2 linked regions of the Astyanax mexicanus genome follow. The protein of the gene in region 1 interacts with the protein of each later gene in a pairwise test. Links are inferred from orthologs where the notes say so. Each region holds a gene or a part of one and is shown in the gene's direction. Other genes may lie near its edges. The genes, in order: cep44 and pop5.

Region 1 (7,154 bases):
AGGTTACATTACATTACATTACATTACATTACATTTGGCAGACGCTTTTGTCCAAAGCGACTTACAATAGTCAAGTACAATGTAAAATAAGTTTAAAGGAAAAACATCTTTGGATAGGGATAAAAGGAGGACAAAGGGGAATAATAGGACAGAGGAGTGAAGGAGAGGAAGAAGGAAATGAGGTTAGAAGTAGTTAGTGTGTTAGAGGTATTAAGAGAGTAAGTGCTCTTTGGTTGTCAGTAGCAGAGGGAAGCACGAAGTGCTGTAAGATTTTGTGGGAAAACAAAACTGCACTGACTTTAGACTTGATAATAAAACACAGTGGATCAACACCAGCAGATGACATGTCTCTCCAAAACATCACTGATCATCAGTAAATTTGTCCAAAAAAAATATGATATACTTGTTATATATGAGATTTTGAAGGTGCCTTGAGCATAAGAAAGTAAGTTATATTTTATATATTATATGTAATACTTTTTCTATAATATAAGCACTATCATTTAAAGTTCTGTTATGGTTAAAAGAAAAGTCCCAGGATATATTATTGTCTTGAACTGGGCCTTTTTTATTTTACTTATTGATATTTACAAAAATCTATTATGTAATATCAGGTCTGTGACTGGTTCTGTGCAGCATTTTATATTTGTAGGTACCTTTAGGTAGTGTTTATGACTAAATTCTATTCTGACATATTGTATAAATAAATATTATATAATTTACTATCTGTGCTGTTAGACACTTCACACAGAAAACAACTGATTGAGGCTTTGTGAACAATCACACACACACTCTTCCACAGTTCAGTGTTTGGTGTTGAGTGTAAATACTGACTCAGCTCCAGCATTTTCCACTCAGTCACTCAGGTGAGTTTAGGCACATGCTGCTTACCTGTACCTCTACTTTTACCTGTCTGTGTACATCTATAGAGACCCAGAAAACACCAACAGCACTCCATTACTCACTTCTAGCAGCAGTACCCTAAATTTCACAATTCAAAATTACATCTTTTTTATAAAACTTAATTTCATTTAATTTCCAAACAATTCAAAACATTTTGGTCACATGTAAAAAATAAATGAATAGGATCTATGATTTAAATGAACTAGTCGGTTTCTATTGGCTTCTGGCACTTTGTATTTATATACTGGTTGTTTCCCATAGTTTCTGACTCTAGGGGTGAGCGATATGGTCATGAAATAATATTACAATATTTCTATTCATATTATAACTTCTTGAAGATATGACAAAAAAACAGAATAAAAATAAATAAATACAATAAAAACTAATAATAATAAAAAGTAACAATAATCATAATAATCATAATATGAGAATAATTATGAGGGTTGTCCACATTTATGATGAATGATGAAAAGATTTGTTCGAAAATGATTGGAAATAAATTATTTTTACAGTGACTTCCACTTTTTCAGTGTTTGTCCTGATATCTTAGTCATATTAGTTATTTTTTGTACTTTTGTAATTATGGCCTTTATTTGATTTCTTATTTTTTAAATATCTACTATTTTGAGATGCCTTGAATACAATGAATTAAATCATATTCTTATATATTATGTATTATTATTGTTCTATAATTAACTTTTAGTCCTGTCATATAAAGTTCTGTTATGTTTAAAACAAAAACAAGAGAAAAGCTACAAAATGACTTAAAATCAATTATTTTACACACAATACTTCTTTAATTATAATAATATTGGTTCAATTATAAAATTAACAACAATTGATTCAACTTTAAATTTACACACTATAACTTAAATCATTAAGCTTAATTAACTTATGTTTTTAGTAAAAATGACTCAAAATACGCTAAGGCAACATTTTTTCTCAAATTATTAGACTAAATGTAAGTTAATTAAACTTATTCAGGCTTTATAATGTGTTTTCCCTAAATTTGCCTACCAGCCTGGCTGCTCATCATTACGTAAGTTCACTGACAGCTTTTAAACTACATGTTTTTAATTCAATTTCACGTTAAAACACTTAATTTTAACTTTAAACTCGCGTTTAAACCCAAAATTTAGCATATAAACATTCACACTTTAGTTCTGTTTATGTTTCAAAGTACTGACTAATCGCCATCCCTCATCACGTTAGATTGCCGAACAAGTCCTGCCCTTACTCCCCGACGATTGGCTACAGCGCACATCAATCAAACCAGCGAGCTCTGCTATTGGCTGATTTAGCTGGCATTTAAAATTGTCATAGCTCCAGTAGCTGAACCCACCCACCTGTGTTTTTATGGCTTTATTTTCACCGCCGCCGCGACGAAATTCGTAACAGTTCACAGCAGCCGATGCGTGGAAATGTCCTTCAGCCCCCAAGCTCAGATAAAGCGCGCATTTCTTCCCCAGAAGCTCCAAAAACGGCTCAAAACCCGAGCAGGCTGAATCCGCGGTCAGGTTTATAATCTCCTCCACCGCTCAGAGTCTCTCAGTGCTCAGCCCCGCCCCTCCCATCATAAACCCCGCCCACTTTCTCTTTCTCCTTACTTATTTTTATTTATTTTATTATTTTTTTTATCTTTAAAGTGCTGGTAAACAGCCATGTGTCGTTTTTTTCCATCAGTAATATAAAGTATTTGTTAAAAATAAAATAATAAAATGACAAATATAATGCAGTGTAAAAACGAGTGTCGTCGTCACGTTTGACGTTTCTTGTTGTTGGTGGAAGTGACGCACGCGGATCAGCACGTTTTGGCAGGGCGTGCTAAAGAACAGCACTTTCGATAATAATTTATATTATTTATATTTATTATTATTTTCATTTTTAATTAAAATGTTAAATGCATTTACAATCAAATACATCATAAATAATGTAAAACATATATACAAATATTTAAAAATATATTACAATTCAAAAGAAGTAACTGAGAAGCAAATCTCACAAAGTGGCCAATAAATTATATATATATATATATAAAAAATAAAAATAGAAAAGTGAATTAGCTGGAAGATTAGAAGATTTCTTTAAGAGTCTGTAACTATCAACTGGTCACTTCATATGACGAGTATCTGTCCTGTATTTTGGTAAAATTTCAGCCACATGCATTTTGTAACTGACTTATATCACATTTTCTCTTAAAAAAGTGTAGGGATTAAATACATTTATTTAAAACGTTAATAAACTACACATAAAATTTGACAGAACACATAATACTTTGTTTTTTTGAATATATTTTTTCTTATCTTTTCAGGGTTGCTCATAAATAAAGTTTGACAGTATATCTAACTATAGACATGGCTACATTAGTAGTGCAATGCAAAAAAAAAAAAGCACAGTGAGAAAATGTTATTTTTTGTTATTTTTTGCTGAATAAACGAATCTTGGATATTGATATTCTGATAGATAGATATTTCTATCTGACTTTGTTTGATCGGCTAAAAAGTATATAAGATGAAGGACTCCTGGTGAAAACACGCCCATTCTGAATTTATTATTTATTATTATATTTTTTATTTATTTATTTTCCAAGCTATATTTCTGCACCCTATGCATTTTGCGAAGAAGTAATATATAAATGAATAAATAATTATATTTTTTTGTTTGTTTGTCCTTTCTTTGATTTTCGTTATAATAATATCTCTCTTGTCGTCTTAAAATTAAGTGATATATATTGAAAAGTATTTAAGAATGAGAAGAAACTATGTCTAAACTAATTTATAAAAAAAAAAATGTAATTCAGATCCAGGATGTAAAAATCCATGCCAGGATTTCGTTTCATCCGCCTGGACGGCTCTGCTGAAGCCCAGCTTCAGAAGAGCCGCCCAGGCGGATTGAACCAAATCCTGGCATGGATTTTTATAACTGTAACTAGTTAACTAGATAGCTCGATATACAGAGAGGCAGATAAATAAAAAGATACTTTTTTGATATCATATTGAAATAATCGTATGATTTATATGCATATATCTATAGTATATTTGTGATTAAGAACTCTAAAATCCGTTTCTAAAATCCGGTCCACTTTTTTCAGCTAGGAGGATGAATGTGCGGCTGTGAAATGATAGCTAAACAGTTTTAAATCCGCTGTGAGCGCGCCTAGAAACAAAATACAAACAAAATAAACGTCTATTTATCGAGTTTAAACCCGTTAAAACACTTCAAAACTCGTTAAAACTCTTTAAAACGGCTCAAACAACCGCAAAAAGTGGATTGTATACATACACTGAAGCTGCAACGCCTTGTTTTGCAAAGGTAAGGAGCGGAAATGCTCTAATATTAATATAAAAAAGCTGTATATTTGTGTTTAATAACGTTTTTCATTAGTTAATCGCTTTATTTCACTGTTAAACTGCAGGTAGACTGAAAAATGGCTACAGGTGATCTGAAGGGAAGCCTGAAGAAGCTGCAGACCTCCCTCAGATATCTCAAATACCCCAGAGAAGTGGATTATAACAGGTAATTTATTATGCCTGTTTTAATATGTTTTAATGTTTTTTCCTACATTGTAAATGAATACTAAAGTCATTCAGACTATGATAAAACATAAGTAATCTTTAAAAGTGTTAAACAAACCAAATTACCACTTTTTCTGAACTCTCTTGCTCTTTCTTTCCTGGGGCAGTCCTAATGAGTGCCAGTTCCACCATTTATTTTCTTTTGCCATTTTGCCATAATATGGATTAGAGCATTACTTAAACAGAGCTATTCACTGTATACCTGTAACTCTACCGTTTCACTACTTTACAACTGATGCTCTCAAACACTTTATTAAGAGACAAGAAATTCAAGTAATTAACTCTTGATGAGTTCAGCACAGCTGTTAACTGAAAACCTGAATTCTAGGTGACTCTACCTCATGAAGCTGACTAAGTAAATTTAGCCAAAATGTGCACTGACATTTTAGCAAAAGGTACAATATATATATATATATATATATATATATATATATATATATATATATATATATATATATATATATAAATAAACATATTCTGGTTTGTTTAACACTTATTTGTTTTGTTTTATTTAATAATTACATATGGTTTTCTTCATAGTTTAGATTACTTAATATTAATCTACAATATAGAACATGAAATTAGTGAAAAAGTACTGAATTTAAGGTGGGTCCAATTTTTTTGTTTGTGTGTACTAGGGGTGGACGATATGGCTCTAAAATAATATCACGATATTTCAGGGTATTTTTGCGATAACGATATACTTGGCGATATAGGAAAACTAAACTAATTCATTCATTTCAGGAATATAGTATAATAGTATAACAGTATATTCATAATGTGGCAAAATAAATAATATAGCATAAAATAATATAATGCAGCAAAAAATATTGCAGAATATTTAGTGCATGCATATAAACTGCAAACTAAAACAATTATACAATAAATACACAAACAATACAAAAATGTGTACAGAGATGGGTGATATGGCCAAAAGTTATATTATGAATACTACATCATGACAAGTAAAGGCATTTGTACAATACACAATATGTATCCTTTTTCATCACATAGAAAAATTACAAGACATTTTACAAAAAAAAAAATATATACTTTTTTTTTTTTATGCATGTCATCCAATTTAACAGGATTTGTTTGCACTATCCGAATTAAGTGTACTGGTACTCCCTGTAGAGACGTTTTTGCAATAGAATAGGGGGTATAAAGCCCTCAGTTTTGAGCTGTGGGACAGTGGTAGAGCTTTGTTTTCTGAAATGATGGAGCTTCATCTAATATTTAAGAAAGGGCGGAGTTGTGGAGATGGAAATCTCCACAAGAGATTCTCACAGCAATGCTCTAAAATGCAGCAGAATGAAAGAAAGCAGTGAGTTTTTAACTGATCAGTCTGTGTGTGTTTTGTAATTGAGTTTATAGCACATGTTCTGCTTCTAATGTTCTGTTCCCAACAGTGTGATTGCATCATTCTGATGCTGCACTTGTTGAGTAATATTATCCGTTCTGTCGTCCAGCCTGTAAGACTGTGTTCATCACAGAAACTCAGACTGTAATGATGATATAATGAGATTAATCCTGCAGCCCTGCCCGGTGTTGTGCTGAATTCAGTAGCCATGTGGACAGCAGCAGAATGCAGGAATGAAACCAATCTAACACAACTCAGCTCGTTTTCCAATCAGTCCAATAGGAGCCAGTCTAGTGTTGTGCCGAATTCAGCACCCCCGCCAGGAAAAGCACCCCCTCTCAGGAGTGCGCACTCATGTCTTCTTAGCTTTAACTTTATTTGGAAAATGGAAACACCCAAGATACTGTTGTAAGCTACGATGACTTGTAAAAAAAAAATAAAAAAAATAAATAAAATAAATACATGCCACCTGCAGCCTCTCCCTGAGAGAGGGTGCTTTATTTGGCGGGAGTGCTAAATTTAGCACCATAGTAGTGCCTAAATCTGCAGCCCCACCGTGAAAAGCACCCCTCTCAGCAGCGCATATGCGTTTTTTTTTTTTTTTTTTTTTTTGACAAAAAATGCAGAGATAATTGCTTTATTATTATTTAGAAATAGGGGGTGCTTTTCCTGGCAGGGGTGCTGAATTTGGCATAACACTAGACTGGATCAAATTAAACTGATTGGAAAACGAGCTGAATTGTATTATAGATTATGTGATTCCTGCATTCTGCTGCCGTCCACATGGCTGCTTGATTTGCAGGATGGAAATGAAATGATGGAATACTTGAATTTCCAACATAGACGTCTCGAATTGTGATTCCCCAGAAACTCCATCCAACCGGCACTAATGCCTGAAATCCAGCTCAGATTTACAACAAACACTATGGCAGCGGCGGTTTGGAGCTGAACAGAAGCTCGGACTGGACGCAGGGCTGACTCATATTCCCGTATTCCCACTGTAATTACACAGAGCAGATTTACTGTTACTGTAAATTACTGAAGTACATCTGATCTGCTGCTGCGTTCGTCTGCAGGATAATCGACTTAATGGACTACATGCAAAAAACCTTTAACTTTCACTATACAGCCAAATGTTTGTGGACACCCCTATTAAAGGGGAACTAAACTCAGCTCAAATTTAAAAAGGGGGAGGGGTGGGTGATGTATGGGTTTAGAGACGGTGCAGGAGGGAGAGCTGATTGGCTGAGCTACAGCAGCAGCAGTGTGCCTCTGATAGCAGTTAGACGCAGACATGTGATTTGTCTACCTACGAA
Region 2 (7,869 bases), on another chromosome or scaffold:
GAAAGCTCATTTTAAGAGGGCCATCTGATCCTTCTGAGATATTTCCTCTTTGCAATTAGACCACACAAGTCCATATCTGTTTATTATCTTATTGTATGTCTATGGCCACTCTTAATTAACTGCTTAATTAACCCCTTACACAGTGAAATGCTGATTTCTACATTCTTTCTGAAGTTTCTCAGAAGAGAGCTCTTTGGATCTGGCAATGGTGATCTACTCACTTTGAGAACAATCAAGAGCAAACCAAACTAATGCCTGAGGTTTAAATAAAACAATCCTCTCTAAACATGTTGGAATCATTTGCAGCTAATGTAATATTACACATTTTAAGGACTAATACATGTAGGGGTGTCATTTTTTTCTCACAAGGCTACTGTATCTATTATCTATTAGTTACATTTTACAATTTATTTTTGAAAGATTTAATCAGTTTAATGTGTTACATTATATACTCTCCATCTCTCAGTATTGGACACCCCTTCTAGTAGATGCATTTAGCTACTCTAAGTTGTGCATATGTGCAAATTCACACACAAACAGCTTGTCTAGTCCCTATCAAGAAATATTGTAAACACAATACAATTCTCCCTTGAACAGATAAATATGAACCTGTTGGCACTATGCATAAAGCCAGACATGTGGACCAGGAGAACTGTGCTCTATGGAATGATAAAGCTCCATCCAATACCTCTTGAAAAGGTTGGGGAGTTGATGGGGAGATGAGGTGTGGTGGTGATCATCCAACATGCTGGCGCTCTTGTGGCTGAATGCAATCAAATTCTTACAGCAGTGCTCCTAAATGTAATTTGAAAACTTCCCTTGACAATAGAGACAGTCACTCCAACCAAAGCAGACTAAAAAAAAATTGATAATAACCAAACTGTGACGGCTGGGCAGCAGAGTAAGAACATCTCCAAAACTCCAAGCAGGTCTGGAATTAAATTTGTGTGGAGATGTCAGCATGTAAGCCTAAGGGTCCGTACTATAGCTTAAAAATTTGTTTCAGGCAGGTTACTGAGTAATGAGTCTAAAAATTAATCACTGACTGTTAAACTTACGGTCTGACGGGTTATGCCCCTCAGCGGGGGCTCATTAAAACAGGTGTACTTTGTCAACGAGAACGAAAAAAGCATTGATTTAGTGCCTCCACTATATATCAACAGCATGAAAATCCTAATCGACCCTTTCGGAATTCAGTAATGATAAACAACGACAGACAGTTTAACATTTCCCAGTCCCGTGTGAGACTGTTTCAAAATCCCAAATCTCAAATTCTTCACAGTTCACACACACTCCCACAGTGTTCTTTCCAAAAAAGAAAATAAAAGAAAAATAAAACACACACTTACACACTCACACCATTGCAGCCATAACTCACTCTCTGAGCGAACAACACACAATCTACACTTGATGCCCCGGTTGAGCACAACACTGGTTGGAGTGCCATTTTCTCATATTTACAAATTAACTCTTTCAAGCCTAAAGGCCTGTTTGTTGACACGTGCTTTAAACAAACTGCATATAAGTTTCATAACAGATTCTAAAAAAATACTAGGTATTGAATAATAAATATGTACAATTTCCATGTAGCTAATTATTAGTAAATATTCAATATTTAGTAGATAATAATTAATGAATACTTATGGGATACCTGGCAGTTGCTGAATAGGTACTATTCACTTACTAATTAGTAGTTACTCAATAATTAGCAAAAACTGACTAATTAGTTCTTGGTAAATAATTAATTTTAGCTACTGAAAAATAAATACTTACTGAATAAGTAGTAGGTGCCAATTAAGAAAGTACTAAATATTTACTCCTTATTCTGTATCTATTACTTGATAAATAGTAGAGACTGACTAATGAGTACTTTCTCAACAATTCTTACTTACTGAAAAACAACTACATTACAAATAATGAATAGGTACTTAATAAGAAGGTACTGAACTTACATCATTTTATATAACTACTATTCAACAATTAGTATATAATGAGTGTTTATTAAATAAATTATTTTTTCTTTGCTAAGTAATTACTTACAACTGAATAACTGGCAGCTACTGAATAAAATGTACTGCATAATTATTACATGTTACATCATTGCTAAGAATTACTACTTATTGGATACTTAGTAGGTATCAAAAAAGAAGGTATTATTATTGCATAACTGCTACTCAATAATTACCTAATTGTTAGTGAATAATTACTAATAAATTATCAACTTGTATGTACTGAATAAAAGTACTGTATAATTATTACTTATTATTACTAAATTATTGAATTATTGAAAGTATTAAAAAAGTAAATGCTGCATAATTAATACTTAATGGAATTATTGGTATTTACTCAATAATTAGTAGGTACTAAATTAGAAGCTGCTAATTAATCAGTACTTACTGATTAGGTAAGTAGGTGTGGTCTTATACGTATGGTATTAAAGCCCAAAAGCAAGATTTCAGTGGATTAAATAAACTTGATGATGCACGTGCACAGTTGCAGTATTTAAATGCAATGCTGAGGATTGCATTTTAACATATTTTAGAGAAGCATATCACAAAACACACACACACACACACAGTGAGAAAACAGCAGTTAATGTGCTGCTGCATCTTCTTACCTTACTAATAGCGATGGCATGCTCGATGAGCGCGAGCGCGCACACGCACCTCATGATATTCCTGTATATCCACATTCTGCCCCCAGATGAGTGATTTTGTGCGTGTGTGAGCTGCAGTCTGCAGTCCGGCGACTCTCACGCTCACACTCTCACGCTGCCATGACAGAAGTGCGCCTATGTGCGCGCACTTGTGAGTGTGCGCGTGTGTACAGTGCGCGATCTGCACCCTGCGGGACCAACAACCCACGCCCATTTGATGTTTCTTCCACAGGACACGCCCACTGCACGATACCTTGCCTCCCCCTCAATACTGTCTTCTGAGGGACCACTTAAGACCTTAGCCTACAAGACACGCCCACCATACACTATTAGGTATGATGCTAATTCCGAGAGCATGCATCATGTGTTTACTTTCCAGTCAGAAAATCCACTGAGTACAAGTACCACTAACAACTACAAGACCACCAAATAACCCCCTCAGATAACATGGCAGTTCAAGTATTCGAGTTTGTGAAAGACGCTCCAGCTCCACTTTCATTTCAGATCTGAAAGCATCCACTAAACAGATGATGGGCTGAGTAGCTCCTAACACTGAGAAAAGCGAACTGCAAACTGCTAAAAATCTCAGAATAATATACAGAAAGGATCTACCATGAAAAAATGCCTGGCCAAAAAAAAAAATGTCGCCACCAAAAAAGGTCACACACTCTAATATTTCATTGGACCACCTTTAGTTTTGATTACAGCAAGCATTCACTGTAGCATTGTTTCGATAAGCTTGTGCAATGTCACAAGATTTATTTCAATCCAGTGTTGCATTTTTTTTTTTCTTGCAGCATTGATAGTAGAGTCTGGTCACTGTGCAAAGCCTTCTCCAGCACATCCCAAAGATTCTCAATGGGGTTAAGGTCGGGACTCTGTGGTGGCCAATCCATGAGTGAAAATGATGATCTCATGCTCCCTGAACCACCCTTTTACAATTCCAGCCTGATGAATCCTGGAATTGTCATCTTGAAATATGGCCATTCCATCAGGGAAGAAAAAATCCATTGATGGAATAACCTGGTTATACAGTATATTCAGGTAGTCAGCTGACCTCATTCTTTCAGCACATACTGTTGCTGAACCTAGACCTGACCAACTGCAACAACCCCAGATCATTTGTTTAGATAAATCCAGGTGGCAACTTTATCTTGGTCAGGCAGTGTATATATCCTTTGCTTAAACACGGGTAAATTAATGAAAAACTCTGGCAAAACATGAGAAGGTTCAAAGAATTACTAACCGTTTTAAAAATTGGATTGATTAAATCTAGATTTTGTGACACTTCATAAATGTAAACTGATAATATCATATTTGCAAAAAGAAAACAGTTTTTTACACATCAAGATCCGACCACATAAAAATGAATCTGAGGTTTCTGCAGGATCTGTACAAGACACAGCCAATATGCATTTTTAGATTCTGTGCTAATGTTTGCTCATTATGGGTGTACATTTCAGTCAAAATGTGCACTAATTACAAATACATGGGGAAATTAATAACACATTAACAAGACATTTAAATAATTTCGAATTAATAAAATAAGTAGTACATATTAATCACATATTATTATTTTTTTACTGTAGGTTCAGTACCACAAATGAACCTGTGCAAAAAAACTTCCTAAAAACTATAGTAAACCAGTGTTAGGAAGCCTTTAGAGGTTCATATATCTGGTTCCTGTGTTTTATACCAAACCGTTTTATATGTATGTATATATTTATAATTATACACAGTACAGTACATTTTCAGTTTAGTAGCATATTCTTGGACAGGACATTTTTCATCTAACGAACAAATTACATTAAAATTCATTTCAATAATTATTTAGTCTGGTCCAAAAAGTTCCATTTTATTTTATTTTTGCTCTTATGGCGCCATCTCTCGGAATCTCCTGAAAATGACACCCCATATAAATAAACAACAGCGTCAAATAAGGACTTTTATTTTATATAAAATATGAACCAAGAACTTTAGCTAAATATTATACTTTTAGAGACCTAGAAATGAGTAAAAATCAAGCTGAGCGTTGAACCTTAAACGATAAACGTGTCTGAACGGTGTAATGTGGACCGCGTAAGCACCGCCTACTTTGTGCAACATCGAATTGTGATTGGTGCAAAAGCCCACACGTGAAAGCGGTAAAGCGTTGGTCCACGTGGTTCCACAGAGAGCAGGAAGATGGTGCGACTTAAGGCGAGGTAAAAAAAACGTTTTTATGAAAACATGTTAGTTATTTCAGGATGTTTTTAGGCTTTAAAATGACTGTAAATTGCCTGGTGTGTGTTTGCAGATATCTGTTATGTGAGGTGTGCATGTCCGAGAGGAGCATGCTGCGGCTGCTGGAGGAGAAGGATATTTTCCAGGCAGTAAAAACAGCAGTGACCACAGCTCATGGCCAGTATGGGTTAGCGTTGTTTAACATAGGTTCTGCAGGTCAGTACTGCATCACCATACTTCTCCAGTTCCTCTTCATCTTTCTTCACTATTTTATTGCGTTTAATAAGTTTTATAATTATGAACACCTACTCAGCTCATTACGAAGAGTGTATTATTTGATTAAATACCTGTACTTGGCACGAGTTTGTATTTAAATGGCTTTTAAAGTTTTAAAAAATCTGGCACTTTAGGTGCATTTTAACGCATATTAAAATATTGACACTATAAGTTAAATATTGTAATATGTAATATGTGTACTATCTCTAACATGTCTAGTTAAAAAGTTTAAGAGAGCGTTACAGAATTTTACATATGTGTCTAAGATAAAATCCTTTATTAATCCCGCGACGGAAATGTACAATGTTACAGCAGCACAGAGGACCAAGCAAAGGAAGTAGCATGAATATACAAGCAATATATATAAAATAAAAATAATAAAATTCATAATAGTAATAACAATAAATAGATTATAAAATATTACTCATTATGCATATTGCACATGTTGGTTGTAAACATACAAACAATGATCCACAATTTAAAAAATTACACAATGTAAGGTAGGACATTGGATGTAGGGTGTGTGTTTGTGCATTTGCACCTTTGTGTCATAAGAAATTGTTTTGTGTAAAAGCACACCTTTAAGCAATACTGAGCTACTGTTATAAATGACCTGTATTTAGGGGTGCCTTTTTTGTGTTCAGAATTTAAAAGCATATTTAACAACATGTATGGATTCTGCTGTTGTCTCATTTCAGTGAGGTACGTAAATGCCTACACTGGGGTGGTCATGCTACGTTTCCGGAAGGCCCACTATCAGCTTCTCTGGTCTGCCCTTCCCTTTATTACAAGTATCTGGAAGCAAGGCCAGAGGGTGCCGTGCTTTTTTAATTGCATTCATGTTGGAGGTAAGTAGTCACCTGTTTCCAGTTGGTTTCACTTTGCACCAAACTATACAAATGGTTTGTTTATTCGTCACAAGTTTGACAAAACTCACAGTATAGATACCTTCAGTTACTTTTGTTTGTCATTGTAAGTGCCAAAAGACCCACCAGTAATAGCAGACCTGTTGATTTAGTATGTCATCTTAAAATATATTTGATCTAAATTATATCTAAATGACTAATTTTAACAAAAAAACTTTGTTAAAAGTATAATTGTAAATTAATATACTACTAAAGCTTAAACACAAAAAGCAATAAAGAAAACATAACAAAATGTCATGATTGAAAATGCTGGTACACTCTTAAAAATAGATGCTATTGAAGAACCAAGGTTCCTCATGGAAACAAATAGGGTTATTCCTGGGCATCAGACAACGAACCCTTTGTATCATATGTTAATGGTTTGATTGCAATCAGATTTTTGTATTGATTTTAATCAAACCATTCTTATTTGCTCTCCAATTCCACAGGTACCATCAGAACATGCCAGAAATTTCTCATTAGATACAGCAGACAGCAGCTATTTCGAATGCTACCACATTGCAAAACAGAAGGTAAAGTTATCTCTTCAATTATTATATTAAGGATTATTCAGATTGCTTTGACAAATCATTTATAAGACTACTATTTGGGTGTTTGGTCATTCTCAGCACTGCAGTGATTGTAGTTGCATGGTGGTAGCGTGTTTGTGTGTGTGTTGTGGTCAGCCGCAGCAGTGTTGCTAGAGTTTTTAAAGACTGTGTTCACACACTGTCCACTGCCCACATGGCACTGCTGGATGACAATTCTCAGTCTAGCAGTGACACAAGATACGCCACCACCATGTCAGTGTCACTCCAGTACTGAGAATGACTTACCACCCAAATAATACTGCAGGGTCCTAACCATTTAAGATTAGGGTGAAAGGGAGGGTAATAAAGTATGCACAAAAATAGATGGACGACAGTCTGTATTTATAGACCTTAAAACTACTCCAATTTGCTTGATTAGTATTTCAGTGAAATGTTGCACAATAAAGTATAACTATCAGTATGACCTGTAACTACTAAAACCACTGAGTTTTAGTTATTAGGCACTTCTGCTTGTTTGTAATGTCTTTGTTTATTAAACGAGGAACAGAATAATGTTGTGGGCATTCTGTGGTAAATTGACACCACTTTTTATGTTAAAAAGTACACAAGTAAAAAAGAGATTTGCTGCAATCGGACAATTTAAGTTGCAAATTGCAATGTTCTATTCATTGCTATGAAATGAGTGCCCCAACTTTCTTTTTTTTAATTATTATTATTATTATTATTTTGCTATTGCTAAATGTAGTTGCAGCAGTTTGTCTATATGAAGCTGCCATTTGCTATTTATTTTCTTTATCAAAATACTGTTAAAAAACTAAACTAAAATAAAGTGTAATGAAAAACAATTAAACAATAAAAACTAAATACAGGAAAAAAATATACAAACTGTTTCATAGTGACCTACATGTTTCTATATTTTTATATGGTTTAAAAGCTCAGTTATTCTGTCAGTGGATCTGGTTGTTCCAGTTTTATAGGCCAATTTTATAATTAAATTAATATGTAATTTTTTTTAACGTTAATTTTCTCCAACATCCGAGTTACAGCACAAATACAGATATATACTCTATGTACTAATAAAAAAGAAAAATTAAAAGTTTTTTTATATCTATCTGTCCTTTGATGCAGCTGAAAAACAGCAGGTGAGAAAAGCAGTTTTGAGTTGTTCTCTAAACCAACTCAGACAAGACGATGATGACGACGACAATGATGACTATGATGACGACAATGATGATGATGATGGAAAATGAACTGAAGA

The links.
Region 2: the proteins of cep44 (region 1) and pop5 interact in binary tests that used the Homo sapiens proteins (3 or more experiments, as listed by UniProt). The two-hybrid records come from large-scale screens. The link is inferred for Astyanax mexicanus from reciprocal best matches to the Homo sapiens genes CEP44 and POP5.

The regions. Positions count from the first base shown.
Region 1 is NC_064414.1:52,245,401-52,252,554, forward strand, and holds the start of cep44 (centrosomal protein of 44 kDa), read left to right. Parts: upstream 1-3,990; 5' UTR 3,991-4,215; intron 4,216-4,318; 5' UTR 4,319-4,330; coding exon 4,331-4,419; intron 4,420-7,154. UniProt on the Homo sapiens protein: Centriole-enriched microtubule-binding protein involved in centriole biogenesis. In collaboration with CEP295 and POC1B, is required for the centriole-to-centrosome conversion by ensuring the formation of bona fide centriole wall.
Region 2 is NC_064419.1:30,521,964-30,529,832, reverse strand, and holds the start of pop5 (ribonuclease P/MRP protein subunit POP5), read left to right. Parts: upstream 1-4,752; 5' UTR 4,753-4,840; coding exon 4,841-4,860; intron 4,861-4,952; coding exon 4,953-5,095; intron 5,096-5,853; coding exon 5,854-6,003; intron 6,004-6,509; coding exon 6,510-6,593; intron 6,594-7,739; coding exon 7,740-7,861; 3' UTR 7,862-7,869. Other genes in the region: olfml2a (olfactomedin-like protein 2A), read right to left, coding at 2,618-2,692. UniProt on the Homo sapiens protein: Component of ribonuclease P, a protein complex that generates mature tRNA molecules by cleaving their 5'-ends. Also a component of the MRP ribonuclease complex, which cleaves pre-rRNA sequences.